2 linked regions of the Lepisosteus oculatus genome follow. The protein of the gene in region 2 interacts with the protein of the main gene of each other region in a pairwise test. Links are inferred from orthologs where the notes say so. Each region holds a gene or a part of one and is shown on either strand. Other genes may lie near its edges.

The links. The genes of interacting proteins can lie anywhere in the genome.
Region 1: the proteins of trip10a (region 2) and sh3bp1 interact in binary tests that used the Homo sapiens proteins (3 or more experiments, as listed by UniProt). The two-hybrid records come from large-scale screens. The link is inferred for Lepisosteus oculatus from reciprocal best matches to the Homo sapiens genes TRIP10 and SH3BP1.

Annotation. Positions count from the first base shown.
Region 1 is NC_090707.1:38,318,122-38,325,723, forward strand, and holds the start of sh3bp1 (SH3 domain-binding protein 1), read left to right. Parts: upstream 1-4,587; 5' UTR 4,588-4,961; coding exon 4,962-5,008; intron 5,009-7,602. Other genes in the region: pdap1a (pdgfa associated protein 1a), read left to right, coding at 144-178. UniProt on the Homo sapiens protein: GTPase activating protein (GAP) which specifically converts GTP-bound Rho-type GTPases including RAC1 and CDC42 in their inactive GDP-bound form.
Region 2 is NC_090706.1:15,204,471-15,212,151, forward strand, and holds the start of trip10a (cdc42-interacting protein 4 homolog), read right to left. Parts: upstream 3,004-7,681; 5' UTR 2,691-3,003; coding exon 2,667-2,690; intron 1-2,666. Other genes in the region: microfibril-associated glycoprotein 4-like, read left to right, coding at 4,959-5,159, 5,917-6,102, 6,472-6,568, 6,918-7,100. UniProt on the Homo sapiens protein: Required for translocation of GLUT4 to the plasma membrane in response to insulin signaling. Required to coordinate membrane tubulation with reorganization of the actin cytoskeleton during endocytosis.

The DNA of each region.
Region 1 (7,602 bases), on a different chromosome or scaffold from region 2:
GCCGGTTCTGCCGGCTCTCTCTCTCTGGACCCGGGCCTGGCTGGCTCTGATCTGGTCTCGGTCCGGCAGGTTTGTGGGAGCCCTGTCCCCGCCTCACTCACGCGCCTCTGTGGCTCTCTCTCTCTCCCGCTTCTCTGTTTCAGTGAAAGAAGAGGCCGAAGCCAAGTCCAAGCGCTAGGGCCCCCCCACCGCGACGGGGAATTTGGGGGTGGTGTGATGGACCGGTGGGTGGGGGGGTGGGAGGGTAAGGCTTGGGGTGTCCACAGTCTGCCCACCCCCCCCTTCACTTTCCTCTGGCAGGCTGGGTGTGGGGGGGTGCTTTGTGTGGCGGGACCGGGGTGACTTGGGGAGAGGAGGAAGAGAGGAAGGACACCCCCTGTGCTGTTCAATCCCGGAGACTAGAGAGTGACCCCCCCCTCTCCCCTCCCCTCCCCTCCCCCCCCACGCACACCACCAGCTCCTCTTCAGTTACTGCTGCTGGAAGTGTGTTCATTCCCAGTTTCTTCCAGAGTTTTTAATGGTTTACATCTGTGGGGGGAGGGTCTGGGGGTGTGGGGACAGCCGGAACCGGGACCAAGGGGAACCAGCGCCGCGATCCGACTTCACCGCCGACCCCTTCCTCCCGACCCCGGCGCGGGGGGCGGGGTCTCCGCCGGGAGAGCTGGGCGGGTGGGAGGCGGGGGGCCGCCATGTCCTGGTGGGAAATCTGGTCTCCGGCGGCCCCTGGCCCTTCCGGAATCTCCCCCTCGCGCGGCCGGCTGGGATTCCTCCGGCTCCCGGGACGGCGGGGCCCGGCGCCAGCTGGTGGCAGTCCGGGGCCGACGGCTCTGCCGGACCCGCGGCGGGGGGTCACTGGGGGGGCTGGGGGGTCTGGTCTAGCTCTCGCTGCTGTACAGTCCGGGGGTGGGAGGGGGGGGTCCGGTCTGTCATGGGGAGAGCCGTTTGACCTGCGGTGAACGGGGAGCAGGAGCCTGATCGAGCTCTCCTCCGGCCGGCTTCCTTGACCCCCTGCAGTATTACCGCCCCCTGTCCGCGCCGCAGGGCGGGCCGGGCGCGTCCCACACAGTCATCCCGGGGGGTCCAGCTGCTCCTGCACCGGGGATCGAGCTCCACTCTGATGCCAACGGAAGACCTGTATTTTAATGTAACTTTAAGCGGCTTTCTCTTTTCAAGACTGAATATTTAACTTAATACAAGCCATCTGAGAAACTGGTTTTGCATTGTGTTGGACTTTTTAACTGACTGAGACGGGCAGCGGGGGGGGTTTCTTGTGTAAAGAGAATAATAAAAAATAACTGAGAATGCTGCTTTTATTTAATTGATATCTAATTCTTGGGTTTATCCTATGCCTCCACCTCTTCTGCGGCTTCCTGTCTTTTCTGTGCAGCCCAGAGAGTGGAGGGAGTGTCTGTGTGGGTCTGTGCAATAATCAAGTTAATTGCACCTGTGCCTAAGTGGGTGCAGTTTTGAGTTTGTCCACCAGGTGGCACCGTACAGTCACAGAACAGGAGTTCCTCAACTGCGGAAGCAGGAGTTGGTCTTCCAGGCCTCTGGAGGGTCTGGAATGGGCTTCTAGTTAAACGGGTTTGCAAAGAGGGGGGGTTTATTACATCTTTGAGACTTGATAAACCAAATGTTTTGGTTTGCGAGAAGTTATTTTTAAACACCATGGTGCTGGGCTTGAGGTATTTCAGTTATGCAGCAAGGGACTGAAGTCGGGGGATGTTGGTCCCTCCAGCAGTTAAGGGCCGGACCCCCGTTCTGCTTGTTCCCTATTTCTATTTCAATGAAAAAGAAGGGGTGAGGCTTGTCTGCCTAATGACCGAGGGGCCGGTTTTCAGGCCTGTGTTTTATTCCCCACTTGGTAAACTGGTGCAGAGTTTGGCTTAAGCGGCGCAAAGCTGGAGTGTCTGGAGCTGGCGGGGGTCCGTCAGGTGGGCTGGGAAGCCGTTGTGCAAGTCGCTGACAATTGCAACACGCCCTACGCTTGGGGAAGTTTTCCCTTGCGTGATGCAGACGCTCTCGCCTCTGGTGCGCGCGCGTCGCTGGGCCTCTCCGAGCAGCGCTGCAGTTGCCGCAGGGCCTGTGGTCCGGGGGGGTCGGGGGGGGGCTGGAAGCGAGCTGCTCCCGTTTCCCCTTTTCTCAAGTCCCGTCCTCCTGCGGCCTGCTGTCTGCCGAGAAGGAGGAAGAGCTGCCTGTGAGAGCCGGGTGGCTGAAGCCTGTTGCCAAGACTGAGTGCGATCCCTCAGATGCAGTCTGGGCACCTACAGGACCTGCCCTGAGGGGTGGAGCTATAGAACCTACAGGACCTGCCCAGAGGGGTGGAGCTATAGAACCTACAGGACCTGCCCTGAGGGGTGTGGGGGCGGAGCTATAGGGCCTACAGGACCTGCCCAGAGGGGTGGAGCTATAGAACCTACAGGACCTGCCCTGAGGGGTGGAGCTATAGGGCCTACAGGACCAGCCCTGAGGGGTGGAGCTATAGGGCCTACAGGACCAGCCCTGAGGGGTGTGGGGGCGGAGCTATAGGGCCTACAGGACCGGCGCTGAGGGGTGTGGGGGTGGAGCTATAGGGCCTACAGGACCTGCCCTGAGGGGTGTGGGGGCGGAGCTATAGGGCCTACAGGACCTGCCCTGAGGGGTGGAGCTATAGGGCCTACAGCACCTGCCCTGAGGGGTGTGGGGGTGGAGCTATAGGGCCTACAGGACCTGCCCTGAGGGGTGTGGGGGTGGAGCTATAGGGCCTACAGGACCAGCCCTGAGGGGTGTGGGGGTGGAGCTATAGGGCCTACAGGACCTGCCCTGAGGGGTGTGGGGGTGGAGCTATAGGGCCTACAGGACCAGCCCTGAGGGGTGTGGGGGTGGAGCTATAGGGCCTACAGGACCTGCGCTGAGGGGTGTGGGGGTGGAGCTATAGGGCCTACAGGACCTGCAGGACCTGCGCTGAGGGGTGTGGGGGTGGAGCTATAGGGCCTACAGCACCTACACTGAGGGGTGGAGCTATAGAACCTACAGGACCTGCCCTGAGGGGTGGAGCTATAGAACCTACAGGACCTGCTCTGAGGGGTGGAGCTATAGAACCTACAGGACCTGCTCTGAGGGGTGCACCTGTGCTATAGCACCTGTTGTGAGGGGCACAGGGGTGGAGCTATATCACCTACACTGAGGGGTGCAGTTGGTCGTGCTCCAGGTTAGCTTCAGTTACTCGTCATGAGTACGCCGCAGATGAGGGCATTGTGGCCGTAACGTAGCCCAGAGTTTCAGACGAGCTGCATTGCTTGCTCTTGAAGTCCTGCAGTCCCCGGGCAGCGAGAGCTGGCCCCGCACAGGCGGAGTAGAAATGCCTGTCTCAGGTCGGTGCCCTCGGTCAGTCACTCCCACGTCACTGACAGTTTTACACCCTTCACGCTGGCTGCTCTCCTGGCGCCCGGACCCCTCCCACAGGGTGCACAGTTCCAGCTCGGCGGAGGGGCAGCTCCCTGAAGCAGGCGGGGGCTGGGGTATAAGGGCAAGAGGGGCAGATTTCTGCCGCTGGCTTCAGGGTGGGGGCGGGAGGGGAGATGGGGAGGAGAAGGAGAGAGAACGGGGAGTGGGAGATACCAGCTCGTATCGTTGTCACGATATGGTGTCAGTTCTCAGCTTCGCCTGCCTGCTGCTGCTCAGCCTGGTAACGGCCTGCCTTCTGAGAAGCCCTGTGCTATTTCTGACGGTATTGTGCAACCCACAGAAGCAGGGGCTGCTCTTCGAAGCCTGCAAGTCCCTGAAAAGCACAGAAATTGCAATAAAAAAAAGGAGGGTTGGCCCTCAGTGCTCATAGCTGCGTCGAAGCTGTTGATGGCACTACTGATCTGCCCGGGAGAGGGGTTCTGTCTGTTCAATCAGTACGCTCACCGCTCGGCTCTGTGGAGCTTTCTCTGGTACATGGTTTCCTTCCTCATGAGGCCTGTGGCGTCTTGTACTGTAACTGTAGCCCAGCGGCACAGTTCGGTCCCTTCTGCACGTGTGAGATACACCCTGGCAGGGAGTGAGACAACATCTCGCCAGTTACAGCCGTGTGACATCCTGCCTGGTGTGGGGGGAAGGACCCTGGAGAGTGGAGCGTCTTCTGTGTGTGTCCACTTCCTGCTGCCTGTCTGGACTCCCCCCAGGCCGGCGGCCCCCGTTCCTTTCTCGCTGGGGCTGTGGTCTGAGGCCTCCTCGCTCCCTCTCTGCCCCTGCTGCTCGTCTCACCTCGAGCAGGCCCAGCGGGGCCCGGTTCCGCCCCGTTGCTAAGTCTCAGGAAAGACCGGGCTTCAGCCATGCGTGCGTGCGTGTTTCTCTTTTAACCTTCACCGAACCCGAGACCACACAGCCTGCTTAATTTATCTTAATAGGCATGCTATTATTAAAGGTGACTGTGGTCAGTCGATTTCCCCTCCTGCTCTGAGCAGAAAAGGCGGTAAACAGTGGCGCGTCCGCAGCTTACAGAAAGGGGGTGATGTGTCAGGGCGGGTGGGTTTGTGATCCTGCCTGAACCCCAGTTCTATGGACACCCCCTCCTCCCTGTTCGCTCTTTCTGTTGTTTTCTCGGAGCGAATGCCTCTCTGCTAAAGACGTTGCTTTCTGCTCTGCCATGAGATCACCGAGCTCTCTTCCTGTTCCCCGTGCAGGGCGACTTCCTCTTTTGCAGTGACTGCGGTGCTCCGTGTGCGTGTGTGCGTCTGTCTGTGTGTCTGTGTGTGTGTGCAGGCGTGCGCGTCGCCATTCAGCAAGCAGGCGAAAACAAGAACTAGGAGTCCGAGCCGCTGCCGGGGGAGAGCAGAGCAGAGCGCTGGGGGCTGGGGGGGCCGGAGAGAGCAGTTAAGCGCAGAGGCGGCGGAGCGGGGCTGGTGGCTCCTGGTGTCCAGCCCGTCCAGACGGTGGCCGACCCCCGAGAGAGAGAGAGACAGACGGACGGAGAGAGGCTCCTCTTCCAAGCCATCATGCTGAAGCAGCTGAATCGCATGAAGCAGTTCACCACAGGGGGGAAGTAAGTCCGGCCGCCGCCGTGCTACCTGTTCTGCCTGCTCTGGGCGACGCCGGCGAGCCGCTCGGGTCGCCCGAGAGGTCCTGGGAAGGGGGTCTGGTTTGGAGGGGCTCGCCTCGCGCTCGGTCCCCTTTTAAAACATCCTGCCAGCACAGTGGGCCTGGGCCTGCGCTCTGCCCGAAGGGCCTGGGCCGAGGGGAGTGGGGAGCTGATGCGTCGAGCTGGCTGATCGTCCAGGTGCTAGAGAGGAGGGGACAATACTGACACTCGCGGGGCGAGGGAATTCTGGGGGAAAAAGATGCCAACCCACTCTTTCCCACCTTACCCCTTGAGCTGTCTGTGGTAAGTTAGTTAGCCTTTAATTAGGGTGTTGTGCAAACCTGCCGTCTGCGCTGGTGCCAGAACGGCGTTGTCTCCGGGGATGTGTGGAGTCCTCTGGGAGCAGGATGGATTATCCCAGGGCCCAGGAAGCCCCGGTGACGCCTGGAGCTGCTGCAGCCTGGCTGACACTGCGGTCTGCACAGCACAAAGCAAGAGCACTTTCGTGATCCCCTGCTGCCACTTCTCCAAACTGCAGTGCATGCTCGCAGGGCTTGCAGGCGCGCAGGCTTGCAGAGATCCGCTTGCTTCAGTCAACTTAAAGACGCACGAACCCCTCCCTGCGCTCTGTGTCATCTGTGGGAACAGTTTTAAAGTGTGTCAGATGGCCAGGGCCCCGTGCTGTCTCTGAGTCCGTGCTGGCCCGGACGAGGGAAGGAGTGTCGGGCTTTTCTGTTTCCTTGCAAGTCTCCTCCTCCGCTGTTCAGATCCAGGTACCTGGGCTGGAACTGTCCTGCGGAGCTGGCCTCTACTCTGGCCTTGCTGCCTGTCTGTTATCGAGTCAGTGACCAGTCCAGGCAGGCAGGAATACTGGGGTCTTCGGCCCGTGACGGGCAGTGTCTGCAAGACCAGGTTCTGGGGCTGGAGCTGTTACCTGGACCAGGACTGGGGCTCCTGACTCCCAGACAGCTTGAGAGGAAGAGGCTTGAACTCGTTGGTCCTTTATCATCCCTCTCTCCACCTGGCGCTGCACCAGGTGATGATTTGATCACGGACCCAAATACTTTCACAGTCCTTAACGCCGGCAGAGGAGCCCTTGTCCTGAGCTGCCAGCTGAGTGGAACCGGAGGCGTCTGTCGGAGCTCGGACACTGGGGCTCTCCGGGGCACGGGGTCAGAGCCTGAGCCACCGGACACTCGTCCAGGCTGACCGGCCGGCTGCCCGGGGCGCGTGATGAGTCACGTCATTGTGATTTCTCACATGGCCGCCCTTCGGTGCTGTTGTTCGCTGGTCTCCAAAGGGTGGTGTTTACAAAACGGTGGCGCTATTTGACGTCCTGTGTCCCGCCTACTGGTCTTGAAAACGGCCTGTCGGAGGGGAGCAGCAGCTGGTCCACTCCATCATCATCATCATCATCTTCCTCTCCCTGGCCTTCCCCAGTCTCTGGACTCGGCGCCAAGTGCGTCCGTGCTTAATGAGGTCATTCTGCTGGTCCGTGTGGCACAGAGAGCATCAGAAAGGTTAGAGACAACAGGAGGCCATTAGTCCCATACAGCCTGCCTGGTAGCTAGGAGCTGATTGATCTGAGGATTGATCACATTGGTAGGCGCCCATAAACCGGCATTGATGAGCAGTCCTGCCCCTGAAGTGTGGGGCGCAGCTCGGTCTGGTTCGGTGGAGAACCGGGGCGCAGGTGCCCTGGCTGTCACCCCAGCTCTGAGCTCAGCGGCTCAGCCGGTTGACTGAAGCGAAACCCCGGTGGTTTCTGGGGCGTGAAACAGCTTGCCGAGTGGGAACCTGCGCGAGGAGCTGCACGGCTCCCGGGTCGAGCCTCCGGAGCCGGGCCGTTGGCAGATCTGCGGAGTCGGGGGTTGAATCATTTCTCCCCTGGGGGGGACTTCTTCTCCAGCACAGCGGCTACAACAGAAACAGGCGCCCAGCGTCCCGAGTCTGTCGCTGTTCCGCCTGCGCAGTACCCTTGCCATGCGAGTTCACAGTGGAGGGGGTGGTGCCTCCCCTCCTAGTCCTTCTGCACAACCCCCTGCTGGCAAAGGGCGATTAGACCGTTCGGAGTGGCCCCCAGTCATTCCTCTGCTTGTCTTCGCTGATGCCCCCGGCCTGTTGTGCTGTAAAAGCAGTTTACAACATCCATGGTCCCAGACGAGCAAGACCGTGAGCCGTGTAAGTGGAGGACCCTGAGGTGCCCCCCGCGAGCCAGAGGCAGCCACGCGGCGTGGCCGGGGCTCGGCTCAGGTGATGTCATCTTGACAGGGCAGCTCGCAGAACAGTGCAGGAGGCTGAAGTGGGTGGCTTTTATTAATAGAAATATCAAAACCACTCGCACAATGAAACAGTAATAAAAGATGCGTGATCTGTGACCTAGATAGAACAGTGCCTGGTGCTATACATATATTCTGCACACAATGCAGGGCAGAGGAAAAAGTTTCAGCTTATCTTTCAATTGCAGGATGTCTTTTAAAGTGTTTCATTACCTTAAAAACACGAGAAATTGTTTTTTTTTGTAAAGGCTAACGTGGAAAGTGAAAACATTGGAAACA
Region 2 (7,681 bases):
AGGTGTTAGTGGGGCCAGCAGGGGGCGTTCACCCTGCAGTCTGTGTGGGTCCTAATGCCCCAGGATAGTGGTGAGGACACCATACTGTAAAAAGGCGCCGTCCTTCAGATGAGACTAAAAAGCGCAGTCCTGAGTCTCTGCGGTCATTAATAATGCAAGGGTGTTTCTTGTAAAGAGTAGGGGGTTGTGACCCTGGTGTCCTGGCCAAATTTCCCCCCTGGCCTTTACCAATCACGCCCTCTTAATATTCCCCTTCGTTACTCTGTTCTCCTCCCCAAGTGGTGCACTATGGCTGCCATTGTGTCAGACAGGTGGGGCTGCACATTGTGGTGGAGGGGATTCCCAATTACCAGGAAAACACTTTGAGTGGAGTGTCCAGAAAAGCACTAAGTGTAAGAAATTATTATTATAGGGGGTAAGAGCAGTGGAACCACACTGGTGCTCATAAACACAGGGGGGAAAACAATCTGCTCCAGTCAGTTCAGCGCCTGATTCAATATCGAACAGTTCTTTGACATGGAGGGGTGGGCCACCCTGATGCAAGGCGAAGCCGAGCCAGACTCCAGACTCCTGCCTGCACCCCGGAGTCAGCTCAGAGCATCTCTCTTAAGTCTTAAATCTCATCTCCTCAGGCTGGACAGTCAGCAGCTCCAGCTCTGCACTGAAGGGATAGCGACCTTTGACCTCCTTTGACCCCTGACCTGTTTGTGTGTGGGGGGGGGGGGAGTGGTGCTGGCGGGTTGAGGTTGCTCTATATTCGACAAGCTGCCCCAGTGTGAACTTCACCAGCCCTTCACAGCCGATTGGCACTGTTGATGCTCCCTTCGATGAAAATGACCTGCGATTATAGAGAGCATTCCAACCCAAAGAGCGTCCCGAGGAAGGAGTGATGCACTTTACCTCTCACTGGACTGACAGGGGAGGCGAGTGAGGAACTGTTCCACCAGCTGCATTAAGCAGGAACTTTTGAGAGGCCAAACTATTCAAGCCCAGAGTGCTGGAATTTATCCAGGGCATGGGGGGGGGGGGTCCTTGAGCCAGTTTTTTTTAACTTTTACTCTACTTATTTGCAAAGAGCGCCCTGGGATCTTTAATGACCAAGTTGGCGGGACTTTGGTTTCACGTCCTACAGCACAGCGTCTCCAGCCAGGATACTGAGGGCACTGGTGTGGGAACTGTGGTCCAGTCTCTCTCCAGACACTTCAGACCCCAATCGCCACTGCCGCCTTTTAGGACCTGACCCTTGAAGCCAGGCGAGAGAATAAGCCCAGTGGTTCGGAGGAGAGGTAACAGTCCGTGGAGACAAAACGAGAAACCGCGACATCCAGGGTGAAGCCGGGCGCGCAGTTGGGCATCACGTACGGCGCAAGGCACGAACAAGGGAAATGACTGGGAGTCGCCGTTTCCTCTCCGGCACAGCAGGAGTAGTAGTAATAATAACAATAACAGGGATCCGATGTCGGAAACGGGCCGAAAAAGACAATTTTATTAACCTCGCAACACGGAGCCCAACGAGGGCCAATTAACAGGCCAAACCCAGACCGCCCGCAGGGGTAAAAAAAAAAACGTGACACGTCCGAAAAACTTCACCCAGCAAGACGTCTGACGACTGCTCGGAAGTAAAACTCCCACAACTTTTACATAATGTACCATGTCACAGACCTTAGTGACAAAACATGCTGCTGTCGGGACACTCACGCCGCCTTGCAAGAGGAGACTTATTCGGCCCAGCGGTAGTGCGACTTAATTAGAGGGTGACGGTCTAAGAAGACCCTGCGCTGTGTCGCGTTTGTAACCACTGATCGGGGCTGCAGCTCGTCACGGGGGACGCGTCTGCCCTGCAGGCTACTACATCACGACAAGCCCACATCCACGCAGCGCGCAGGATGCGGCGGACTTGGACTCGCCGCGCATTTAAAAATATCTAGCAAATTACAAGGCGAGCCCCGGGTAGCCGCAATACGTGTTCTGTTCAATATGTGGCCTGAAAGGTTGTGTGTTTTTTTTCTCTTCTACAGTTACAGTTTCTGCGTGCGTATGATCGTACAGATTCGATCCCATCTAAAATAGGATCGGCTTTATTGAACGATTAAAAAAAAAATCACGGTCAGCTGTTTTGTGTTTGCAGGGCAGGCAACGGCAGCACCCACGCCGACCCTTTATAATAAAGAGCACGTTTTACTGACCACGTTAAGAGCCAACGTTAACTTTTTAACATGTTGACCTATTTTGCGCCAAAGACAGAAGAGACGAGCAGCAACCTAGCCTACAATTAAGTACCCCACTGACCCAAAAAAAACTTCCCTAACAAACACAAAAGCGGACACTGTTTAAGGTTAAGGTAACCTTAATTGATTGAGGTAACTCCCATCAACTTGATGGGGTGTATCCGGGCCAACAAGAACAACAAAAGATTTGGAGGTTGTTGTTTTTTTTTCAGTTGAACGACTTTATAAAAGTCTTTTGGACAAGGCTCGCCAATTTAGCCAGCAGAGCATGAAAAATCAAAACGAAATCCGCCTTTCTAGTCAAAAGAGCTGCGCGTGTGTTGTGTTGTGTTGTGCTGGGGTGGGGGGGGCGGTTAAACTTCAAAGAAAAGAAAAAAAATATGCATCTCATTTCAACTCCAGTACAAAAGTAAAAAATAGCAAGAGGATTAAACTTACCCAAAGGTCCGTGCCCCAGTCCATCGCGACAACGCCTGGGAGTTTGCAGGAGTCCAGAAGTGTCACGACCCGCCGCACAGTATATCCCGAAGAGACGATATATGAGCGCTACAAAACCGAGAGATCGATGGATAAACTCTTCCCTGATTAAGCGACATCAAACATTTTTTCCCTTCGCTCTTGCGCCTCGTCTCGCAGTCGCAAAGCGAGGTGGGATGTTCCAGCCCTCGTATCCGCGTCACTCCCAGATCCTCAATCCTTAAAGGGGCCGGGCAGTAATTCCTGCTCGGCGCAAGGCGACCCCGTGTTGACTCGGCGGTGCGCTCTGCTGCCGCGCCTATCAGCTACAGACCAGGGGCTGGAGCCGTTTCCTATCGCTGTTGCCGTGTTTCGATTAACGCGCAAAAACTGGAAAAAGTTATCACTCTGCTTTTAATAACAGTGAACAAAAATACGATTAAGGAAAGTCGTATTATTAAACGAAAGAGTAAAAATAACTCTTTATACCTTATTTTTGTACCCTTTCGTTTAATAACAAGACGTTTCACACACAAACACTTCGGTATTATTGTGTTAATATACGATTCTACTCTCTTTTGTGCGTTTTAATTTAGGGATAGATGAGCCTCTTATTTCATTGTATACGCTGGCTCAAGCGATTCCGTGCTTCCGGTGGGAAACGTGAGTTTCCTCACGAGTAACAGCAAATACCGAAGTGCTTGTGTGTGAGACGTCTTATCTGCTTTGGGCGCACAGAGATTAGGTGGGACAGTCGAGCTCCCGGGATTGTAGAAGACGGATTTGAGTTTGAGCCACCTGGAGAGGTACGATAGGAGCTTCACCACAGCTCCGCCTAGCGGTGGCGCGGAATACGACACCACGAACCTGAGCTGGAGCCTGCTTTAAAAACGCGATTGAAAGAAGGTAAATGCGATCATAATAATCCACAGGAACAATGAAGGGGACATTATTCAATTAAGACTCACAACAACAATTACCATCCACAGAGCCTGTCGTGCGTTTGTCAAGGTGGCCATCCCTCGTGTGAAATCCGATTTGGTTGGCGGCGACACGACATACATAGCAGATTACAAACTAACAGCTATCAGAAAACTGATGTGTTTTGATACAGACGAGATGAATGCTTCTTTACAACGAGGGTGGTGAGTGTCTGGAACAACCCGCTCGGCGGTATTATATATGATGAGTAAACAATTATGAATCTGCCGGCTGAGACACTCTGATCAATAAATTACAAGCAACCAAAGAAGAAGGGTGACTGGAAATATACTGAATATCTTCATAGAATGTAAATACGCGATAATTCTGTGTGTTTTAAAGTTTTTTCGTCAATTTTTCTAATTTGTAAACTATTCAAACTTTAATGTTCTGTGAAGTACGAAGCACTGTGAATCTGGGATGTGCGTGATGTGCAGAAAGCTCCATCTTGCGGCAAAAAGTGGAAATTACACTTCCAACACGCTACTGTGCAAGAAGGTCAGACAAATGTCCTCCTGCCCTCGTTATCAACAACACTTCTTCAGTTCACTTGCACAGTTTGTGCATTCGCCCAAAATAGCCCTGAGATGCAAACCTTTCATGCATTTAGTGAAGACATTTTCCTGTACACCCCACTCTTCGACTCACTGTCAAAAGCAATTTTAGCTCATATGCGGAACTGATGTGCACCTTAAAGGCAAGTGATTTTAAATTTTTGAATGCATGTCGTCTCCCAACCTGAAAACCAATGTGAAAAATGCATTCATGAGGATTTTTTTCGAAACCACGCTGAAAATTAAACCAATAAAAACACCAATTGCTAAGTGACAGAGTTACGTCTTTATTATTGACTGGAAGCAGGACGAAAGCACTGTTCACTGCAGAAGAATGCGGATGGAGTTGAAGAGGATTTGGAAAAGCAGTGGTGCGCTCGAGGGTATTACCCCAGCCCTGGCATTTATCCCAGGGTTCGGCCCATAGAGGAGGGGTCCCACCCGGCTCATCCACCCCTAGTGCTGCCCCCTCCTCAGGCGCCGGGGTGCGAAACTGCATCACCAGCTGACACCACTAGGGGAGGCTGGACTTTGCAAACTCTGCAACAACGTCTGCAGAAGAAGTCCAACCCGCAGCCTTTCGGCGGGGAGCCTGTGGTCTAGACTACTCTTCCTTCCCGCGTGCGTCCTGGCCACCTTGAAAAGATGACCTCTTTTTGTAGATTGCCAGACCTACACTTCCCCCAGAAAGCCTGACGTCAGGAGAGTTCAGGATCTCTGGGTGGAAAGACGAACCTCCATGAAGCCTTTGCACAGCAACGCACACAAACTCTTCCCCCACAGAGCCACGGGAGAGATTAACGAGCTTAACGATCACCCAGCAATGAACAGATGCCCAGCGAAGCTGTCCAGCGGGTGGGAAACACAGCAGCATGCTGACGGCCCAGCAACACACCCCTTTACCAAAAGCAACTTGTCCTTCAGGGCACAACGCAAACAGGTGACTTATTCACAGTATTTGTTTGTTCAGCCCTGCGAATCACACCTCCTGTCACATTCTGTGGGGCTATAAAAAAGGGCAGTTCGGGTGCACAGACATGAGCTGTAAGCCGTGCAGACCGCAGAATGAAGGTAAGAGCGCTCCTATGAACTTCACCGCTCCTGTGACTGCAGAAGGTAAGAGAAGGGACCTGGAGACTCATTTTGAGAGATGAATGGCCTTGACCTCCATCCTCACAAGGGTCAATCCCGCCCAGTGTGCACAAGGCAGGTGGGCAGGGTTAACCCCCCTCTTCTGTGAAACCCACACTTAAGGACTCATTCCGAACTGCCTTATATTGTATTTTGCCTGCAACGTCAGTACGATCTCCAGGTGAGCCGAAAAATCGTTTTCACACTTTGCCTTATAAAATTGCAACACAAGGCCAATGACATTTACTGGGTTACTGAGCTTTTGCGGCAACCCACAACCTCTGTGTCATACCATGATGGTGTCATTCCTTAGCCCTGACACAAGATTAAGTGTGCTGTTTCTTTATCAAATAAAATCTACACTTCAATTCTTATTCCCCTACCCAAATTACTTAGAAAAATACTTTGCTGAAACCCCATACCATGCTCCAAACAGGTTGCTCAGACTTGCTTTTTTAAACGTCTCCAAGACAAAGGAAGCGTAGAACAATATTCATCGCCCAGCGAGGATGAGGGTTAAGGGTGCTCCCTGCCGTGTGTCTCTGACCTCTCTCCCCCTGTCCCAGGCCTGTCTGTTCCTCGCAGCCCTGCTGCCAGCAGCAGTTCACCCTCTGATGTTCCAGCCCCTGGACTGTGCTGACATCTACAACGATGGCTCCACAGCGAGCGGGGTGTACAGAATATACCCTGCCGGATCCACCTCCCCCGTCTACGTCTACTGTGACATGGACACCGAGGGGGGCAAATGGACTGTAAACTGCGGGGGGGGGGGCGCTGTGCCATCCTGCAAACTCCGTGTCTGAAGGAGAGCTTGACCGGCGCCAGACAAGCTTGCTGGACTTTCTGAATTTTGCTGTAGGAGCTGCACTTCATTTTATTATGCGCTCTATTCAGTTGTGGGAAACAAGATGTCATGTGCATCAAAAAAGTAATTTCCTTGCATCTTTAATAACCCAGGGATGACGGTAATCCCACACACTGTCATTACATTCATAGGAATTTTAAACACATACTGTTATAGATGAGAATCATGTCCGCATTTTGCTTTTTAAGCAATTTCGATATTGCCTGGGTTGCGGCTGGCTTGCTTTCCCTTACTCTACCTGAACTCTTGTCTGCAGGTATTTCAGAGAAGGACAGATGGCACGCTGAATTTCTACAGAGGCTGGGAGCAATACAGGAGGGGGTTTGGCCACGCGGCTGGGGAGTACTGGCTGGGTAATGCCTTCCTCGTTCCCGATAGCACTCTCGCTCAGGGGCAGCCTCGCCGTGCAGAGCTCACGTCTAATTCCCACACAATCAACCTCTCTGAGCAGGAACACTGCACGGCATTTTCTGTTTCCATGCTGTAGTCTGCATTCAGAGGGGGGGGGGGCTTATTGAACCATTCTCTTGTCCTACAAGTACAGCATTTCATTAATTTTTGAAAGAACACAAGTGAGAATGTTTCCGATTTCACGTCGGTGACTGTGAACAGAAATTATAGATGAATGCCATCGGATGAATAGAGCCAGGCAGCAAGGTGTGACTTATCGTAACCGTCCTCTGATCTGTGACCTCTCCGCAGGGCTGGAAACCATCCACCTCCTCACCCTGCGGAAGAAGTACGAGCTCAGGGTGGACCTGCAGGACTTCGAAGGGGGTAGAGCCCATGCCAGTTACTCCTCTTTCTCCCTCTCTCCCCTGGCAGTCAATGCCGAAGTGGATGGCTACACACTCCATATCAGCGGTTTCCAAGATGGGGGAGCAGGTGGGTCATTTCTCAAGAGAACGTGCTGTAAAATTATCCGTTCGTTTCAGAGATCCTCTTTCAGAGAGTGCCTCTTTCGCAATTTGGTGCTGCCATGCAGCTCCATAGCTGTTAATAAGAGATGAGGGCTGCAGATGACAGCTTCACAGGAAAAAAGGATGAGCTGCAAGTGGCTCAGCTTAGATTTGAACCTGAAACCTCCTGTACTGACACAACTAGGACATGCCCTGGTCACCCCATGGAGCCTTTCCTTGGGCGATCAACTAAAGAATCTGCCAGACTACACCCTGTGTCCTACTCTCCAACGTTCTCTTCCTGAGAAGCACTTTATTATTTGTGCTCGACTAAAGCACAGTAACATTTACAGGAAGAACACACTTGAAAGAAGCCCTTTTGTCATTATTCTAATTAAGTGAGAACCTTAAGAAAACCTCCAGAGATGCTGAACTCTGATTTTCTTGAACGTAGCGGTCTCTCACTTCGGATGTCGCAGTTGTTTTCTGAATATCTGTGGAAACGAAGACGAAGAAATCCTTCTCAAATTTAGCACATTTCAGCAAATTTAAATATGCTGAGATACA